Diceros bicornis minor: one gene and its partner. The protein of the gene in region 1 purifies or fractionates together with the protein of each later gene. This does not show direct contact. Links are inferred from orthologs where the notes say so. Each region holds a gene or a part of one and is shown on either strand. Other genes may lie near its edges. The genes, in order: PSMB5 and PSMD5.

The links.
Region 2: the proteins of PSMB5 (region 1) and PSMD5 fractionate together in Homo sapiens (co-fractionation; 3 studies listed by BioGRID). This does not show direct contact. The link is inferred for Diceros bicornis minor from reciprocal best matches to the Homo sapiens genes PSMB5 and PSMD5.

What each region holds. Positions count from the first base shown.
Region 1 is NC_080744.1:24,724,707-24,734,900, forward strand, and holds the start of PSMB5 (proteasome subunit beta type-5), read left to right. Parts: upstream 1-5,437; 5' UTR 5,438-5,453; coding exon 5,454-5,651; intron 5,652-6,330; coding exon 6,331-6,637; intron 6,638-9,392; coding exon of another isoform or gene 9,393-9,487; exon of another isoform or gene 9,488-9,526; intron 9,527-9,714; coding exon 9,715-10,001; 3' UTR 10,002-10,194. Other genes in the region: PSMB11 (proteasome subunit beta type-11), read right to left, coding at 1-372. UniProt on the Homo sapiens protein: Component of the 20S core proteasome complex involved in the proteolytic degradation of most intracellular proteins. This complex plays numerous essential roles within the cell by associating with different regulatory particles.
Region 2 is NC_080767.1:27,975,616-27,986,342, reverse strand, and holds the start of PSMD5 (26S proteasome non-ATPase regulatory subunit 5), read left to right. Parts: upstream 1-6,236; 5' UTR 6,237-6,259; coding exon 6,260-6,435; exon of another isoform or gene 6,436-6,480; intron 6,481-10,727. Other genes in the region: protein CutA homolog, read right to left, coding at 1,769-1,837. UniProt on the Homo sapiens protein: Acts as a chaperone during the assembly of the 26S proteasome, specifically of the base subcomplex of the PA700/19S regulatory complex (RC).

The DNA of each region.
Region 1 (10,194 bases):
ACTGGGCAGCTGCCCCTCCCTCAGTGCCCGCAGCCGCAGCTCCCGCTGTAGCACCCGGTACCATGTGGCACAGTCAGCGGAGGTGCCAGAGGTGGTGCCCAGGAGGTGCTGGTGCACAGGGATGACCTTGCATGAGGCTGGACAAGCCACGTAGTTGCCACAGGAGGAACGCGTGTCAGCCGCAGCAATGACTCCGTGACGGAAGCGGAAGGCCAGGGTGGTGGTGCCGTGGGCCAGCCTGGGGCCGTGGATCTGCAAGAAGGTTTGAGGGTCACAGCCCCGGGGCACAGCCCAGCCGCCAGCCTGAAGCAGGTGAGGTGACAGTCCCTGGGTGTCGGGGGCCTGCCACTTGCACACATCCTGCAGAGCCATCCCTGGGACTGAGTGAAGGCTGGAAGGAGCAAGGCAGGGATTTGTGGGCTGGGGTCAGCTGAGGAAAGAGGGACGCCACGGAGAAGCTGGGCTGCAGCCAGAACAGGTGAGGAAGGCATGTGACCTGTGGTTCACTTCTCCCTAACTCCAAATCAGGCTTTGGGACAAGCTGATGGAGCAGCCCCCTCCTCCCCAGAGGACTGCAGAGGGGAGACAGGATGAGGCCAGCAGAGTCTCTAGTGCTGGGAAGACGCTGCCCATCACATACCTGAGCGTCACCCAGGGAGTCTCCTGTCTGTCTTCCCCCAAGCACCTGGAGTGGAGTGGGGGCTGGGTAACCGCAAAGGAAAGGAGGCGTGAGTGGAAGGAGCAGGGCAGGGTTCCTCTTGTTCTTCCTGCGGGGGGCATTGGGCATGCAAAGATCGATAAGGCTCTGTCCCCGCCCTGAAAGAGCTCCCAGCCTAGGCGGAGGTGAGGACAAGTCAGTGCTCAGATGTAGTCAGAATAGAGTGCCAAGGACCCACTGAGGCAAGAGTCCCTGACGTGGGGTTCTCCCTTCAGAGGTAGGGGCCAGGGAACTGTGGCCCTCAGCTCACATTTTCACCTCATGGTCAAGGTGAGGAAGGAGAAATGGACTGAGACAAGGACAAAAGAGAAAACAGCAAGAGAGCCTGTGAGGTGGGGTGGGGAGGCTCAAATACCTTCCAGAAAGTCAGGGTACTAAGGTGCAAGGTGAAGGGAAATTAGAACCTGAGGCTCTATCTCCTCCACTTTGGGCGTGAATATGAACTTCCATCTGCATACAGAGATGGCATTCCTGAGAGTTCTCGGGCAATATAGCTTCTCAGACTTCTGTTCCAGTTCTGAGGATGTAGCTGAAAGGATCTAGTGGCCTTCCCTCTCCTGGTCCTCCTTCTGCCCAATAGTTCACAATGGCAAGAAACTGGTTTGTAGTTCTGAGGCAGGAGAAACAACTGACCTTGACCCCATAATGCTGAGTCTAAGTCTTAGACCAACCAGGGGGGGTCAAGGGGTAAGGTTGCTGGACCCTGACAACTGGCCCTTCAGAAAGACAAAGTAGATTGGGCCAGAGTAACAAGCTGGAACTATTTCCAGCACCATATGGAGTATATTTTACTAAATATTGCAGCTCGAAGGGATGTTGTGGGAATGGGTTTATTCAAAGAAACAGACCCAGACACAAAGGAAAGAGCCTGCATGCTCCAGACACCATGGTGGTGGGGCTCTGGCAGTTTCCTGGCGTCTCAGTCTAATGGCAAGTGTAAACCTGTCATGGGAAGACTGGAGAGAGCAGGAGGTCAAGCCGAGGTCAAGCCAAGTTCAACCAGTCCTCCCTTCCTTTGAGTAGGACCACATGGGGATCTTACTGAAAAGATAAGAATGTCTCCTCTTTCTAAAGACTGTCTTAGGGCCGGCCTGGTGGCTTAGCGGTTAAGTGTGCGTGGTCCACTACTGGCGGCCCAGGTTCAGAACCCCAGGCACGCACCAACGCACCGCTTCTCCGGCCATGCTGAGGCCACGTCCCACGTATAGCAACTAGAAGGATGTGCAACTATGACATACAACTATCTACTGGGGCTTTGGGGAAGAAAAAAAAAGGAGGAGGATTGGCAACAGATGTTAGCTCAGAGCCGGTCTTCCTCAGCAAAAAGAGGAGGATTAGCACAGATATTAGCTCAGGGCTGATCTCCCTCACAAAAAAAATAAAAAATAAAAAAAAATAAAATTTAAAAAATAAAGACTGTCTTAGACACTTCATACATCGCTGGATTGCCACCTCCCTAGGTCAGGCCATTATCAAGTCAGATCTGGACAATCTGGAGGCCATTATCAGTCAGATCTGGAGATCTGCCCTCCAGTCTCCCCTCTAATCTTATCCTCCACACTGATGTGTTTTCCGAAGGAATCACTCAAATTCTGTGTCTCTTCTACTAAGAAACCTGGAAGGGCTTCAAAATCAAATCTGAACCACCTTCTCTGCCCCAGGCATTTAAGGCCTCTGGCATTTAAGGCCACTATGGTCCAATCCCAATTCACCCACTACAACCTCTTTTTACTCTATTCCTAACACATTTCCCACCTCCCCTTCATCTATTTGAATCCTATTCTTCAAAGTCTGGCTTAATTACCACGTATTCTGAAAATCCTTTCCAGGTATGGGCTGAGAGAGGAGAGACTGTGGGTTTGAGGAGTCAATGGGACCCAAGAGGCATTTAGAGAAATGAATCCAGACCTCCTTGGCAAAGCCTTCCTGGACCCCCAACCTCATCCCAACCTATAGTGACCTCCTCTCCCACCTCTAAACTACAGCACTTATCATTCCTACCCACCCACCCCAGCTTTATTGAGATATAATTGACATATAACATTGTATAAGTTTAAGGTTCACAATGTGATGTTTGATACATATATATATTGGAAAATGTTTACCACAACAAGGTTAGTTAACACATCCTCTACCTCACATAATTACCATTTTTGTTGTTGTTATGATGAGACCATTTAAAATCTACTCTCTTCACCTCTCAAGTATACAATACAGTATTGTTAACTATTGTCACCATGCTGTACATTACATTCCCAGAACTTATTCCTCTTATAACTGCAAGTTTGTGCCCTTTGACCAACACCTCCTTGTTTCCTCCACCCCCAGCCCCTGGCAACCACCAATCTACTTTCTGTTTCTAAGAGTTCGGCTTTATTAGATTCCACACGTGAGATCATACAGTATTTTTCTTTCTCTGTCTAACTTATTTCACTTAGCATAATGCCCTCAAGTTTCATTCATGTTGTTGCAAATGGCAGGATTTCCTTCTTTTTTATGGCTGAATAATATTCCACCACATAGATAACATTTTATTTATCCATTCATCCGTTGATGGACACAGGTTGTTTCTATGTCTTGTCTATTGTGAATAACGCTGCAATGAACATTGGAGTGCACATATCTCTACAAGATAGTGATGTCATTTTCTTGAGATAAATACTCAATTGCGGGATTGCTGAATCACATGATAGTTCTGTTTTTAATTTTTTGAGTAATCTCCATACTGTTTTCCATAGTGGCTGCACCAATTTACATTCCCACCAACAGCAGCGTCATTTGTACTTCTCCTTTTTGAGGTCTCCAAGTGTAGGGACCTTAGAGCAGAGAACTACTGTAAAGTAAATCAGAAACAGATTATGGAAGGCCTTGAATGCCATGCTGAAGAGCTGGACCTTACAGAACATTTTTGAGCAGGTGAGTGATAAGATCAAGATGGTGTTTTAGGAAACTCAGTCTGGTGATGTGCAGAATGAATTACAGAGTACAGTCTGGGCCCAGAAAATCAATTAGGAGAATATTTCAAGAGTGAGGAGATAAGAAGCCAAAGGTGGTATTAGTTGCAATTGAAAAGAATGTGAGAAGGATTGTAGAGGGAGAATCAACAGGACTTGGCAACTCACTGGCTGTAGAGGAAAGGAAGGGGAGTTGTTAAAGGTGAGCCAGGGCTTCAAGCCTCTGTGACTGGAAGAACACTGTTGTCATTCTTTCATGTATTCATTTGGCAAACATGTATTAAGCACACAGTGGGTACAGAGATGAATAGTAGACATATACCTGTCTTTAAAAGCTCACAATCCAGTAGGAAATAAATGTACACTTACAACCAGGTAAAATGTGAAAGGGCCTTAAGAGAGGTACAAATGCCATTAGTGGCAGAGTGACAGAACCCTGACAGAAGTCAGAAGGAGGCCTAGGTGCATTGCAGGGGTGACTGCAAAATAATACCTGCTCAATAAGCAGAGGCACTCTGCATTTGCCACACACTCTAACTGTGAGACACAGATAAAAATCTGCTTCATTCCATTCTGATGGTTGGTCTTGGAAAGGGTTGCCAAATTTCAGCATTAAAAATACAACACATGCAGAGTCTGCTGGGGAAAAGGAGGGGCTGAGTTGGGCATGAGAGGAAAGTGAAATTTAGATATTGATGGATGTTGCCGCTGGAATCCACCAAGGAAGGCCAGACACTGACTTCATAGAGCCTTAAAGCAGGAGGCAACATTTCATACATTTGCCCACTTCCTTGCTTGTTATGGTTCCCAAAAGAGTTGAAAAACGAAGGTGGGTGGAGAGAGGGAGAGGCAATAAAATATAGCACATTCCTGAATAAAGAGCTTGTCTTAGCAAGCTTAAATTGGAGAACCTCTTGGTACATCTTTATGGAGCCTTCTCTCCTCCAGGCTCTGAGATGGTAAACGACTATTGACTCAGTTATTCAGGAGCTGAATTGAGAATCTAGTTTGTGGATTAACTGGGCCCTTTGCTTTTTCTTCTTTATTCTATCTGCCTTTTGGGCCATTCATTACTTATAAGATTTTCCACCAGAGGGTGGGAGTAAAGAAAATATTGAATCTTAAAAGTTGGTTACTGTTAGAGAACGTGGGTAGTGTGGCGATTAATGCTAGCAAACAAGACGTATAGCACTTTCATAATTGTTGCGCTTTTCACCACAACCTCCTGTGGTTTAACTAACTTCATAGGAAAATGGCCTCAGAGGAGATCATTATTTTACCCAGTATTAGAGGGTGCCCTTAAACAAAATGGCAACTCCAGTCGCGTTAACAGGGTGCTGAATGAGTAGAGATGTAAAGTGTTGCTCGGACACCGGGCTGGGCGCGGACGACTTACCGCTAAGGGTTCAGAACTGATTTTCAACCAGTCACGCCCTTCTCAAAGATGGCCGGCCTCACTTCCCGCACGCAACATGGACGTTTCCGATCGCTTCCTATGAATTTGAGGTTAATGTAATCCAGTACTGCTCTCATGACCAGAGTCAAGATGGCAGCCAGATCCCTTTAGAATTTAAGGGTAGTGAAGCCATTTATTTTTTTTCCCTCTCGGTGAAAATAGTCCCTTGCGCCTGGCTGTTGTTTTTGGAGGCGTGGTTGCCAGGAGTTAAAATGGCTCCGGGCTGGGATAGATTGAAAAGGAAGTGAAGCTGTGACAGCGAGGCGTTGCCCGGCCGCTCTTTCCTAGGCGTTCACTCCCGGAGTTCCTTTTGCCCTTACTAGACATGGCGCTGGCCAGTGTGTTGGAGAGGCCGCTACCGGTGAACCGGCGCGGGTTTTTCGGACTCGGGGGTCGTGCAGATCTCCTGGACCTGGGTCCCGGAAGTCCCAGTGATGGGCTGAGCCTGGCCGCGCCCAGCTGGGGTGTCCCAGAGGAGCCGAGAATCGAAATGCTTCATGGAACCACCACCCTGGCCTTCAAGGTGCAGACCCCGCCGTCGCGCCGGGCTGAGTCCCGCACGCCCGCGCCCCTCCCGGTTTCCCAGCCGACCGGAGCTCGCGGTGGCCGTGGTCAGGAAACCCAAGCGGAGGCCCGGGCCTCTTGTCTCCCCACCAGCGGCTTCGCTGTCTCATTGCCCAGGGAGGCCTCGGTTCTCGAGGGGGGCGGTGGGGCTGGGGGTGAGTGGGAGAAGGAACACGAGGCTGCTTGGGTTGATGCCTAGGCCACCCCCGGTTGCTCCTGTTCAGGAAAGGGGAGGCCGCAGCAGCAATGAACATTGGCAGAGGGAAGGCTGTTGTAACCATTCACCAAAGATTTTGGAAACTGGGTGGCCCCGCTGGCTAGGCGAGGGTAACCGAAACGTTATGGCATGTGGGGGAAGATTGGTGGGAGGGAGCACTGTACTAGGAGCCAAACAGTTGGGATTCCTGACCCAGCTTTGCAATAATGAACTCTACGATCTTGGGCAAGTCATTCGATCTCATAGAACCTGTTCCCTTTGATGTGAAGCTCAAGTGACATTAGTATGTGGGAAAGTATATTGTGAAGTATAATACGACAGAGATGATGTTCTGGGTTTGCACTGACGCAAAGAGAAATGTCAAGGAGATGTTTTTGTGGTCTGATGTGGCCTGCTTTGTGTTTTCCTCTGATCTTAACAGTTTCAACATGGAGTCATTGTTGCAGCGGACTCCCGGGCCACAGCGGGTGCCTACATTGCCTCCCAGACAGTAAAGAAGGTGATAGAGATCAACCCCTACTTGCTGGGCACCATGGCTGGAGGGGCAGCCGATTGCAGCTTCTGGGAGCGGCTGCTGGCTCGGCAATGTCGAATCTATGAACTTCGAAACAAGGAACGCATCTCGGTAGCAGCTGCCTCCAAGCTGCTGGCCAACATGGTGTATCAGTATAAGGGCATGGGGCTGTCCATGGGCACCATGATCTGTGGCTGGGATAAGAGAGGCCCTGGTGAGTTTAGCTGCAGTGGCATGATTCTTGGGCTGCCCCTACAGAAAGGAGGGGCTGGATGAACGGGTGAATGAAAGGGCTTTCAGTGCTGAGGATGTGTTGATTAGGTTCTGGGACCTTCCTTCTCTTTGTTCATGGAAGGCACTGTAGGGTGGGAAAGGGCCTTGGAGTTAGCCCTGCTGTGTCATGACTAACCGTGGGACCTCAACACAGGTTGCTTATTTTCTCAGCCTCTGTTTCCTCATCTGTTACATTGGTTAGATGAGGTAATACATGTAAAGCATGTAATGTCTGGCACATAATGTTTTTCCTTCTACTCTCTCCCCCACAAAATGATAAGACCTACAAAGAGTGGAATTTGAGAATTAAATTGGATAATAGACATAAAAACTCCAGTCAGTGCTATATAATAGAAATATAATATGAGCCACACATTTAAGTTAAAATTTTTTAGTGAATATATGAAAAAAGTAAAGATAAATAGGTGAAATTAATTTTAACAATTCATTTAATCTAAAATACCTAAAATATTATCGTTTTGGCATGTGGCACTAGCCCCATTTCAAGTGCTGAATAGCCACATGGGGTTAGTCGCTACTGTATTGGACAGCAAAACTTTAGTATACAGTAAGTAGCCACTCAAAAATTAGTCATTTCTCTTCCCTTTTTTGCTTTAGGGAGTCTTTGGCCTAGAAGGGGCCTTTTGGGTTCATCTCCTTTCCTTGCTTAATATAAACACCCTAGGTTCTAGTCCATCATCTCTCTCAAAAGAAATTCCTTAGCCTATTTTCCTTTCCAGTTTATAAAAACCTTGCTGGGAAGCTCAATCTTGTATCTGGTGTCAGTTCCTCTTCAGCCAGTTTTGAATGTCCCTTTAGTCAAGCTGGAATACAGCTAGTCACTTTCTGTGTAATTTTCCCCTTCCGTGCTTGAAAATAGTTACTCTTTGCTCCTATTGTTTTTGCTTCATTCATTTAGCTCCTTACTAAATGCCTAGTTTTCCTCTCTCGAACAATTGTAGGGTACCCACAACTTTTTCACTTGCTTTGGGGAATATATCAGTTCATTACTCAATGGAGAATGAATGCGGTGAGATTAAAAAGTAGATGTGAAAGAGGAGCTCAGTTTGTTACTTTGGAAAGCGAGACACTTTTCTCTTTGAAAGGTGTGAAAGAATAGTTCCATACATCTTGTGTGGTCTAGGGAAGCATTTCAGAAATGTTACTTTGAGCCCTTAGCTGTTGGGTTTGTTCCAGGTGGTAGAAACAGTGTAAGGGAGTACAGAAACTGGCTAGCAAGGACAACCCAGGAAGCTGAGTATAACCTAAATGGTACCCTGTCCAACCCTTCCTGACAAACCATCCCATTCAGAATGAGTCAGAACCAGACTGAACCAGACTGAGAAAGGATCACAGATCACTTAATATAAGGCTGAATGAGATGAGTACGATTTTTAAAAGAACCAATAAAATGCTGAAGAAGGTTTGAGGAGGAGAGGGTTACTTCTGATAGGAGGAATTGGGAAGACTTCATGGAAAGGTGGCAGTTGTCATGGATGCGAAAATGAGAGAAAGGAAACATAACAATCGAAGGAAGGAAGCATGAGGTTTTGGGGGGAATAACTGGAAGTCCAGTTTAACTGGAACTAAGGTGTGTGAAGGGGAGTAGTGAGCCACGAAACCAGAAAGGTAAATTGGAGCCAGGTGGTGACCCTGCTGGGCAAGGTAGTGGCAGTGGGACTGAGGAAGGGCTAGATTGGAGTGGACATTAGAATCATCTGAACCTGAAAACTGATCGGGGCAGTGGGTCCCCAACCTGGCTTTCATTATAATCACCTGAAGAACTTAAAAAACAAGCTCCATGCTTGTCCCCGACTCCAGACCAATTGAAATAAAAAACCTGGAGTAAGTCCTAGGCATCTTTTTTAAAAGCTTCCTTAGATGATTCAGATGCATAGTGAGAGTTAAGAACCACTGAAATAGGAGAAAGATAAGTGATGCCATTGGCAGAATTTGAAACTACAGGAGGAAGTATGGGTTGGTGGGGCACAAGAAGGATGAGTTTGGTAGGTAATGGAGAACCACTGAAAGTATTTGAGGACAGGAAGTTTGAATCTGAACTTGGTGAGAAAGGCATCCAGTTGGAGAGGTCCAGCAGACAGTTGGAACTGATAAAAGTTTTATTAAAATTTTTGTCTAAATTTTCATCTATATTAGAAGTTGGCTAACTTTTTCATAAAGGGCCAAATAGTAAATATTTTAGGCCTACAGGCCATATGTTCTTTGTCTCAATTATTTAACTCTGCTGTTTTAGCACAAAAGCAGTCATAGACAGTGTATACACAAATGGGTGTGGCTGTGTTCCAATGAAACTTTATTTATAAAAATAGGCGGTTGGCCTGGCCAACCCCAGGTCTATACTGGCACTAATAGAAATAATGTCAGCCATACATGTCATTTTAAATTTCATAGTAGCCATATTTTAAAAATTAAAAATAAAGAAGAAATTAATTTTAATAGTATGTTGTATTTAATCCAACAAATCCAAAATGTTATCATTTTAGCATGTGGTACTAGCTTCATTTCAGATGCTCAGTAGTGGCACGTGGCTAGTGGCTACCACATTGGACGGTGCAGATCCTTACAATATGACTTGGAACTCTAGGCTTTACTCTCCTATTGTGTGATATATGTCTTGTCCCCCAGATAGTCTAAACTCTGAGGGCTAGGATTGTTTTAAACATTATCTCCCACAGTGCCTGAAGTTCCGGTCTTGAAACCGAAGTCATTTGAATTATACTTGCTTTTTGGTTGTGCAGAGAAGACAGGCAAGGTAGTTACTATAATGTGAGGTGAGATGAGGTGGTATGTTGTAGAAGCCTGGAGTCTTAATATTTAATTTGATTCCCTCAGCTTTTTTTTTTTTTTTTAAGCAATTTTATAGAAGTCCTATTTTCTTGTATTTATGTTGGTCTCGCCTGGGTTTCCAGAGGGTAGAGAACTATTGCCTTGGAGAATGAATTAGATGTCAAAGGAGTAGTCGTTTTTTTTCCCTGCTAACCTCATCTCTCTTTCTAGGCCTCTACTATGTGGACAGTGAAGGAAACCGGATCTCAGGGACCACCTTCTCTGTAGGTTCTGGCTCTGTGTATGCTTATGGGGTCATGGATCGGGGCTACTCCTATGACCTGGAGGTGGAAGAGGCCTATGATCTGGCCCGACGAGCCATCTACCAAGCCACCTACAGAGATGCCTACTCAGGAGGTGCGGTCAACCTCTACCATGTCCGGGAGGATGGCTGGATCCGAGTCTCCAGTGACAATGTAGCTGATCTACATGACAAGTATAGTGGATCTGCCCCCTGAAGGAGGGTGGATGTGGCTATTTTGCATTTGTTGGGGGGGTGACTTTCGTTGGTAATCTGGGTATAGCACCCCATCCTATAGTGGAGGCGTCCCCGATTATATTGATAATTTTGTTAAGCTCTGGTGCGTTGACCTCTGTGTTTCCAGTTGTTAATGAGATGCTGCAGAGGTGATTATTTGTTTTACTTTCTTG
Region 2 (10,727 bases), on another chromosome or scaffold:
ACTGGGCTGTCCTGTCCTCCAACCGAAAAAGCCATTTCTAGGGAACCTCTGGGGCATTTCAGCCAGCAGGTTATCAGTGGAAAACAGAGCTAATAGGATTACATATAAACTCACCTAAAATGTATCGAAACTCTTGTATGAACTCATAGTCAAAATACTAAGAGGTAAACGGGCCCTCGGGTATTATCTAAGATAACACTTAATTTAACAGATAAGGTAACTGAGACAGAACACACAGAAACTCTGTGACAGAACCAAGACTCGAATCCAAGACTTCTGCCTCCCATTCTGAGCTCTTTGAACTGCAAGGTACACTGACTAGGAATTGATCTAGTGGGGTCATTTCACCTTCACTCAATCCAGTGGCTCTCAACTCAGAGCAATTTTGCCCCCCAGGGGACAGGAGGCACTATCTGGAGAGAATTCTGATTGTCATGACTGGGGAGGAGATGCCATTGGCATCTAGTGGGTAGAGGCCAGTATTGCTGCTAAACATCCTTCTGTTGTACCAATGACCACATTGAAATACAGACAGTTGTTTACATATGTCTTCCCCATCGGACATGAGCTCTTCAGCCTCATTTATTTCGGTATTGCTGGCACTTTACCACCCCTGACAGGGCGAATGGGCTTGAGAAACATTTGTGCACCATACCAACAAAGCAGCAGTATGAAAGGTCAGTTTGGAACCAAGGGTGGACCACAATATATGAGAAAGTGACATGATGTGAATGCAAAACTGATGGAAAATACATACATCACAATATTCCCTAATAGAAACATTATAATAGGAAAAGATTTACTATAATTTTTAAAGAAAAGCTTTTATAACATTTTCATATTTATGTGTTTTACTGTATAACTTTTCTAATTTTATATTCTAAAATATTTTATGTATCCTTTCAGTTATTTCATATTTCATTCTGCCTTTTCCCTTTTTTTGTCCTGCAGTATCTGCATAGCCTTTAGGAGGTTATGACTGACTTGACAGTCTGTTAAGGCAGAAGGGGCCTCAGAAACCACCGAGTGGTTCTACACTTGCAATCCACCTAGTTTTAAGGAATCTGCGAATACTCTGAACTTGAATGCAACATTGTGTTTACCTATATACTTTCCTTGGGTACAAATCCAGAACTTTAACAAAAAAAAAAATTCAAGAAAAATTAAAATCCCAAAAAGGTTAAGGGCTACTGATTTGTACCAATTTTTACAGATGGGGAAAGTAAGGGTCAAAGAGGGAACGAAAATCACCCAAAAAGGGAGCAGCAGAGCTAGGCTAGACCCCTGGGCTTCTGACCCTGCCCTACAGTTCTCCTTACCACCACCACCACTGGTGGTACTCTGTAGCCATCTCCAACTTTAACATTTTAAGATATTTCAGAGATGAGAAAACAAAGCCCCCAGAAAAATACAGAAAAAGAAGACGGTAACTGCAATAGAAACAGAAAAGGAATCTATCATGTGACCCTTAGATGAGAACTCACCAGCAGACACCCCTTCACCTCTCAGACCTCCCTGGCAGTGAAACACAGTCCAGTCACTCCTCCTCACAAGGCAGGAGTGAAGGGGTGCTGGTAATCTTCAGAACCACGCCACAATCTCCAACACACCGGGGCTGTCTCCAGGGATCTTACCCTCCACCGGCTACCTGCCTGCCTCCAGCTCAAAATCCCAGGGGCACTAAAGAGAAAGGCGCCTTCTTCCCTCAGTCCCCAGGCTGGAGGTTTAGGGGTGAGGAGTTCCTAGCGTCGTAGCATGGGGCACTCACCAGGAGGCATATAAGGACCGAGGGCCGCAGGAGGCCTGGCAGAGGGCACCTCGAGCCCAGCTTGTCCATGGCGTCGCTGGTAATCGAGCGGCACAGCCCTAGGGAAGGGCGGCCTCAGGCTGAGTTGCCGGCTGGTGGGCGGGCACTGAGGGCCTAAACTGCCCGCTCCTCTCACCACCTGCTGCCGGCCCCACTGCCCAGCCACGCCCCAATCAGGAAGGCTGGAAGGAGACAGTGCAGGGGGCGGGGAATGAGGGAGTCATTTTCATTGGGCAACTCTCTAGAAACAAAACCCAAGCACCACATGCAGACCTAAAACCCCTGCAAAAATAAAAATACTAATTTTTCCTTCCCACTTTACCAACAACAAAAAAATCACAAACTCCCCAGAGATGTACAGATAAAAAGATCTAAGTTTCTTAAATACATAAAACCTTCAGAAACCACAGCCACAGAAACCACAAACACTAATACACACACACAAAACTCATCCACTTTACAGAGGCCCATCCCGCCAACAAAAACAAGTAAGTGAAGCACACTCAGCTGCCTTCCGGTCCCCCACACCACCCCCTCCTCCCAGGGTCTCCCTTCTAATCCTTGGCTTAGAACACTAGCTCTGACTGCTCTCCCTATGAACTCATTCATCTTTCCAGGCCAGCTGCTCCGTGCAGCCTTTCCCCGAGTTAATCCCGCAGTCCTCGGTTTCCCCTCAGGAAACTTTGCACACACTTCTGTTGCCACATTTAACATCAACTATGGGGAATTACAAACAAACAAGTAAAGCAGCAAGCTAATGGTTCACCGTTGCCCTTTGGGAACGCAGAGGCCACTGTGGCCAGCGTTTCCAATTTCTTAATCCAGTTTTTTAATGTGAAATATCTTAATTTTTAAAATATGACATTTCTGGGGTGGGGCAAGGGACTGAGTGCACAAGGGCACAAGCAAACTTTTTTAAGTTAAAGGAACAGTTCTATAGCTTGATTGTGGTAGTGGTTACACGAGTGTTAAAAAAATCAACAAACTGTACACTTAAATTGATGAAGTGTATTGTATGTAAATGGTACCTTAAACAAAGGAGGAGGGGGATGCTAGAAACCAGTCCAAAATTGCGTTAAACTGGGTAGACCAAACATATCTGTTAGCCAAATCTAGCCTGCAGGCTGCGGGTTCACAGCTTCTGTGTTTATTTTAATTACCTGTTTACCTGTCTGTCTCATTCTTTAGGACTATAAATTCTTAAAGACCTGATACATTTCCTAGGAAAGTGTCTGACAAAGTTAATAAATCAACTGTAGCCGTAGTCCTATCGTTTACATTGTTGGCTGTGCAGACTCAGGCCAGTTACTTAACCTCTCTGAGCTTTTGAGGGTTTTTTGGTAAAGGAAGGGCTAACACTTTCTTCATAGGTCTAAAGTGAGGATTAACAGAGAAGATTAACGTAGAGTGCTTTATAAAATGTAAGACCACGTCAGCATTTCAAGAGCAAGTAGTCTCATGCCAACTACCATTGGAAATGGTAGAAAATCTCCATTTCTGATTAAAGAATTTAGTATCTGTGCAAAAACTAAGGTTAGAGAAAATGAGGCTGAGTGGTCCTAAGAAAATCTTTATATTCAAAGTCCATTAAAATAAATCAAGACTGTGATCTTTTATACCTATTACATTAATAAGAAAATCCACTGTTAATGACCATTTACCTTAGATCCTGAGACGATTTCCTGAGATGATGTCCCCAAGTTTAGCACACCCCATATAGTTTATGCTCAATAAATGTTTGTTGAATGACTAAATGATACAGATGTGTGGCTGATGATTATAAGGATGATCACGATGAAGGTGATGTTAGGGCAACAAGGGAAGTTCAGCAAGAGATGAACTGTTATTTGGAAGAAACTGCCTCTGGATTCTTTTCTTCCTTCAACTCAGGCACCTTACTCTCTCCAGATTCAATTCCAAGGTTAGATTCCAAAAGTCCAATTCTGCATTTATGGCTTTGGCAGATTCTTCAGATATAGTAAGATTCTTAGTGCCACTGCCTGAGTGTCCACGCTCTTCTTCTGAAGGCTTCTTATCCTTTTTCTCTCTCTCTACCTTCTCCCCCTCCTTATAGGATTCAGAATCAGACTCAGACTCTCCTTCAGACTCATTCTGTACCCATCTCCTTCACCCACACTACTTCCTCTTTGTGTGTATTTTCCTTCTCTTTCTTAAACTCATTTGCTTTATTTTGAACGTTCTTTTGAATCTCTTTATGGGTATACGACAATTTATTGAAATCTTTTTAAAAGGTCAAACTTGGATCCAGGAAAGGATCCATATCAATTGCAGCATCAAGGAGGTCTGAGGCCTGGCGTAAGACAGCAGACAGTTTCCTTAGATTCATCTTTACCTCTGGTTCCAGGGACTTGTCTTCTTCCTCATCTATAGATACTCTTTCTCAGTTATCACTAAAGCTTCAAACTTGAGTAGCTCATTAATTTCCCTTTCATCAATACTGATGAATTTAAAGCCCATCTGTTTTGCAGACTGTATGATTTTTTTAACTTCTTCATTAGCTCTAAGGAAACATGCATAATCATTCACAACACCCTCCCAAAGTTTCAACCAGGCTTTAAGAGTAGCCGGTTTTATATCACTCATCACCTCTTCTATCACTACCAAAGCATCGGCAGTGTGGTACTGTTGCCATGCTTCTTTTGCAGTAAAGCAAGAGTTTTTTTTCAATATAGTCAACAAAATGGTCAACCATATGCTTGGTGTAATACCTCCTGAATGCTTCAATTATACCCTGATCCAAGGGCTGAAGACAGCCAGTACGTTCCAGAGGGAGGAACACACTATCAACTTTAGGATGAGCAAATAATAATGAGTCTGGGTGATTGGGACCTCTGTCCAAAATTAGCAACACTCTGAATTCAAGATTGTTTTCTGGTGATGGCCCTGTGGCATAGTGATTAAGTTCAGTGTGCTCTGTTTCGGCAGCCCCAGTTTGCAGGTTCGGATCTCAGGCACGGACTTACACCACTTGTCAGCCATGCTGTGGCAGCAACCCACAAACAAAATAGAGAAAGATCAGCACAGATGTTAGCTCAGGGCTAATGTTCCTCAAGCAAAAAAAAAAAAAGATTTTTTTCTGTTAAATAACTCCAGGCTTGATGGAGAAAACCAATTATGAAACCAATGCGAAAAGAGGGCGGCGGTTAATGATACTCTGGGGTGTGACTGCCAGAAAACAGGAAGACGTTTTTTATCTTTTTCCAAAAGACAAGTGGGATTAGCGTCTTTATAAAGCAGCAATGGTTTTATCATTTTGTCACCTGTGGCACTGGCACAAAAAAATGAGGGAAATCCTGTCCTTAGCTTCCTCTAAGCTTTCTGGCTTTTTGTCTTACTCCCTAAAAGTATGAGAAGGCATGCACTTCCAAAACAAGCTCATCTCCTTGGCGTTGAAGACCTGTTGAGGCACACAGCCGCTAGCTCTGATCAGTTTCTGGATCAGAGTTGGAATTGCTCGGGATACTTGGGTGCCGACTGGGCATTTAAGGGTTCCTCCTCCTCCATCAACCTCGAATTTCGCAGACTGCAGCCATCTCTAAACTTCTCAAACCATCCTTTGCTCGCATGAAACTGATCTGGGTTGCCCTTCCCGATGACTTCCATCAGTTGCTCGTAAACGCGTTTGGCCTGGTTGCAGGTGGCCTTCAGCGTCAGAGGCCGCCCCGCTACGGTCTGGTCCTCGAGCCAGGTTAACTCAGTCTCCATCCTCTCTATGTTTACATCACGGGGAATGCACAGCACCCTGGAGCAGACGGGGGAAACTCCCCATGTTGGCCCTGATGGCCCTCTCGTTTTTCTTAATGGTGCGCACAGTGGACTCACTGACGCCAAAAAAGGCGCCCCCCGTCGGTGTTACTCACGTCTCCTTCCAGCTTCTGGGGAATTTTCATCTTGTCTTCCAAAGGCATGACCCTCCGCCTCCTCTAGATACGTGTCTTGCCCGGGAGCAGGATGCCCATCGCCGCCGCTCCGCCCGGGGTGGCCTCCACCGCTGCGGCTCTCGCCGCGGCCCAGAGCCTGGTTTGAGAGCCAGAAGGACGCCCGCGAGGCCGTTTAACCTCCAGTGGGCCCTCATTCGCACCACTCCGCTTGCCGGACATTGGACGAGCCTTCGCTCCCTGTGGGAAACACACACGCCGACCGGAAAGTCGGCCCGCTTGACCAACTGAGCGGCGCCCAAGATGACGCGCGACCCCGCAACCACCAGCGATCGCCGGCTCGACCTTAACAGCCCCGGTCTCGCGAGGCTTGACATCCCGCAGCGCGCGCGGCCAGCCAGCTCCGCATTGCTATTGGTGCGGCCCGGCGGTTCGCCGTCAGAGCCGAAACTCGGGAGAGGGAGGCTGCGCCCGGCAGATCTCGCGAGGCTCGGGGAAGCGCGCCGCGAACAGGGCCGGGCGGGCGGATCCGCCAGCCCCTGCGGGAGGGGGCATGATGGCGGCCCAGGTGCTGGCGCTGCTGAGGGAGGTGTCGCGGCTGGAAGCGCCGATGGAGGAGCTGCGCGCGCTTCAGTCGGTGCTGCAGTCAGTGCCACTTAGCGAGCTCCGCGAGCAAGCGGCGGAACTGCGCCTTGGCCCGCTTTTCTCCCTGCTCAACGAGAACCATCGGTGAGAGGACGCTGCGGCTTCAGTGGGGGAGAGTGACAGCCCCAAGTATGGAAACCGGGGTGGGTGGGGTGAAGGGGAAGGCTTTTCCAGTCGCAGTGAAGGTAGAATATAGCTGAAATGTAGAGAGGGGAGGACCCTGGTCTGAGAGTCAAGAGACGGGGGTCAAGTCCAGGTTCTCAGGTGTGCCCCTGGCCTCTCTGCCTTCATCCTTGAAATAGGATTTGGGGGAGGAAAGCAAGGTTGCCCATCTGCATGGAGGACTCCACAATCCTGTGTACAGGTCCTTGGCTTTTTCCCTCTTAAGAAGGGGTGCTATCCTGGCAATTTGGCAAGATCCGTCAACATTTTTAATTCACATGCCTTTTGATCCAGTAATTCCTGTTATAGAACCTTAACATGCAAGTATACTCCGACACAAAGTGTACTGTATATACGGGAATATTCGTAGCAGAAGGTGACAGCAAAAACCTAGAAACAACCTAAATATCCATTAAAAGAGGATTCTAAATAAATTATGACACATTACTATGTAACACTATACAGCTGCTAGAAAAATTGAGGTAGATCTATACATGTGGACATGGAAAGATCTCTAATATATGTTGTTGAATGGAAAAAGAAAATTGTAGGAGTTTATGAGCCCCATTATGTGTTATTTTTACAAAGAATTACAATTTTCCCGCACAAACACACAGGGCTAGTATAACATTGGGAATGTCTGAAAGGTACAGCAGAAACTATTAATATAGAAGTGGGACTTAGAATGGTAGGATGGCAACTTTTACTTTTCATTTTATGCTCATTTGTTGTATTTGATTAAAAAACACTTTGTATTTGATCCTCCAATAATTTTAAAAGGTTGAAAATGTTTGTGATCCAGAAATTTAAAAGTGACCTTTCTGCTTGAAAGGAATGAGTCACTGAATCAACACTGGATGATTTCGGAAGACTTTCTTGGCTCTGACCTAAGATTCCTCCCTTTTTCCTATTTGTTCTCCCTTCATTAAATCCGTTAGTTAACATTATTGAGGTCTGTTTCTGAAATATGTCTTTGTTTGCCCATTTTAATTCAGGCCCTCGTTTTCTCCCTCTTGCTAGGTCTATTACATTAGTCTGACTTTTCATTACCTCAAAGCTTCCTTTTCTAGTGTGTCCTTGCCACACTACAACCACAGTGAACTTCTCGGGTCATTTGGCTCACGTCTTTTCCATGGTTTCCCATTGCCTACAGTGTAAAATCATGACTTCTTAGTCTGGTGTTTGGACCCTTACAGTATATTTCCATCCTATTTTCCAGCCTCATCTTTTTCCTCCACTCCTGTAAACATATTTCATCTGCTCCAGCTACCACGTGGCACCACTAACTTTCCCTTGATCATGACTTGGCACTTTTCTAACTTTGTTCATGCCATTCCTTCTAACTGAAATGCCCTCCCCTCTCTCCAAATCCTTTAAGGCCCAGGTGAAGTGCCATCCACTGCAAAAAGTCTTTCTTGGTCACTCCAGTTGCAAGTGACTGGTCCTCAGATCTCCTGAAGGACGTTATCATTACTTCTGTTGATAGTTAACACTATTGCTTTATGTTATAGTTCTGTATGTGTTTGTGTCTAGTTTGTAAATTCTTTGAAGGCAGGGGCTGTATTTTGTTCATCTCTGCATCTCTCATAGGGCGCAGCACATAATGCAATATATGCCAAATAAAAGATTAGACTCATAAATTTTAGAGAGGCCTAGTCCAACCACTTTATATTATAGGTGAAGAGACTTTCAAGGCTCATACCATAATTTAACACCAGAGATGCAATAGGAACTGAAATGAAGAGGAGTTTTAAGAATAAGTTCTATGGGGGGGATGGTTTGCTGACTGAAGGAGCAGTGCTCTAGCAAGCAGTCTTAATGAAAATTTAAAGGCAGAGTAATTCAGAACTGGGTACATAGTAGATAGCAATTGCAATTTGTGGAAATAATAATTCTCTGGATGGTAGATTGGCATTCTCCAGATGTATTGCTATTATCCTGGTTAAACCACACAGGTTGCTATATATTAGTTCAAGATCTGATCTGATAGATGTAAATCTAGAATCTTTTTTTTTTTTTGTGAGGAAGATCGGCCCTGAGCTAACATCCATGCCAATCCTCCTCTTTTTGCTGAGGAAGACTGGCCCTGTGCTAACATCTGTGCCCATCTTCCTCCACTTTGTATGGGACGCCACCACAACCTGGCCTGACAAGCGGTGTGTCGGTGCGCACCCAGGATCCGAACCCGGGCCACCAGCAGCAGAGCGCACGCACTTAACTGCTACACCACGGGGACAGCCCCTAAATCTAGAATCTTGATAGGAGTTTTTGTGAGGGAAAGTAAGTCCTAAGGTTACTGCTTTGCAACATGGAAGTCAAACAAGACTGATTATAAGTTATTAACTCTTTGGCTTCCTGGTTCCTAAGGGCCACATGTGGCCTGAAATGTGTGTACTATGTGGTTTAGCCTACCATTGCTTTTTTTAAAAACAGCTTTATTGAGATATAATTTACATAAAATAAACTGTACATGATAAAACATACAATTTGACAAGTTTTGACATGTATATACCCATGAAACCATTACCACAATCAAGATAGCAAAGCTATCTCTCACCCCCGGAAGTTTCCTCGTGCCCCTCAGTAATCCCTTCCTGCCTCAGCCAGGCAACCACTGATCTGCTTTCTATCACTATAGATGTTTGCCTTTTTTTTTTTAGAGTTTTATATAAATAGAGTCATACAGTATGTACTCTTTTGTTTGGTTTCTTTCACTCATCATAATTATTTTAAGATTTATTCATGTGATATGAATAAATACTTTATTCCTTTTTATTGCTGAGTAATAGTCTATTATATGGATGTACCACAATTTGTTTATTAATTCACCTGGTGATGAACATTTGAGTTGTCTCCAGTTTGTGTATATTACAAATAAATGCTCACTGCTGTGAACATTTGTGTACAAGTCTTTACATGGACATATTTTTTCTTCTCTCTTTGAGTGAATACCTAGGAGTAAAATGGTTGGGTCACATGGTAGGTGTACGTTTAACTTTTAAGAAACTGCCAAACTGTTTTCCAAAGTGATTGAACCATTATACATTCCTACCAGCAGTGTATGAGAGTGGATTATAAACCTAATATAAAACCCAAAACTATAAAATTTCTCAAAGAAAACTTATAAAAAAATTTTTGTGCCTTGGGTTAAGCAAAGATTTCTTTGATGTGACACCAAAAGCATGATCCATAGAAGAACAAATCAATAAATTTTGACTTCATCAAAATTAAACATTCTCCTCTTCAAAGGTCACAGTTAAGAGAATGGAAAGGCAAGTCACAAATGGAGAAAAATCTTTGTAAAGAACATATTTGATAAAGGACTTAAGTATTTGGAATAGATAAAGAACTCTCAAAACTCAATAACAAGAAAAGAACCCAACTTAAAAATCAGCGAATTATTTGAACAAGAAGATATATGGCTGGCAAATAAGCACATGAAAACATACTCAACATCATTAGTCATTAGGGAAATACAGATTAAAATCACATTGAGATTCTACTACATACCTATTAAAATGGCTAAAACATACGAACAAAAAACACCAAAACAACCCAAGTGTCCATCAGTGGATGAATAGATAAACAAAATGTGGGATATACATGCAATGGAATATTATTCAGCCTTAAAAAGGAAGGGAATTCTGACACATGCTACAACATGGATGAACTTTGAAGACATGCTAAGTGAAATAAGCTAGACACAGAAGGACAAATATTGTATGATTCCACTTATATGAGGTACATAGAGTAGTCAGATTCATAGAGATAGAAAGTAGAGGCTTTGGGCTAAAGGAAGGGGAGAATGGGGAATTAGTGTTTAGTGGATACAGTGTTTCTGTTTGGGAAAATGAAAAGGTCTGGAGATGGATGGTGGCAATGGTTGCACAACTGTGTGAATATACTTAATGCCACTGAGCTATATGCTTAAAAATGGTTAAAATGGTAAATTTTATGATATGTACAATTGCAGTTTTTTAAAAAAAGGAAAAGAAACACACACCCATTAACAGTCCCTCCCCATTCTCCCTCTTATCCTCTGCCCCAGCCCCTGGCAATCAGGAATTTGCTTTCTGTCTCTATGGATTTGTCTATTCTGGATATTTCATATAAATGGAATCATCATCAAAAGGAAGCCTTTCATATCTGGCTTCTTGCACTTAACATATTTTCAAGGTTCATCCATGTTGTAGCATGAATCAGTACTTCATTTC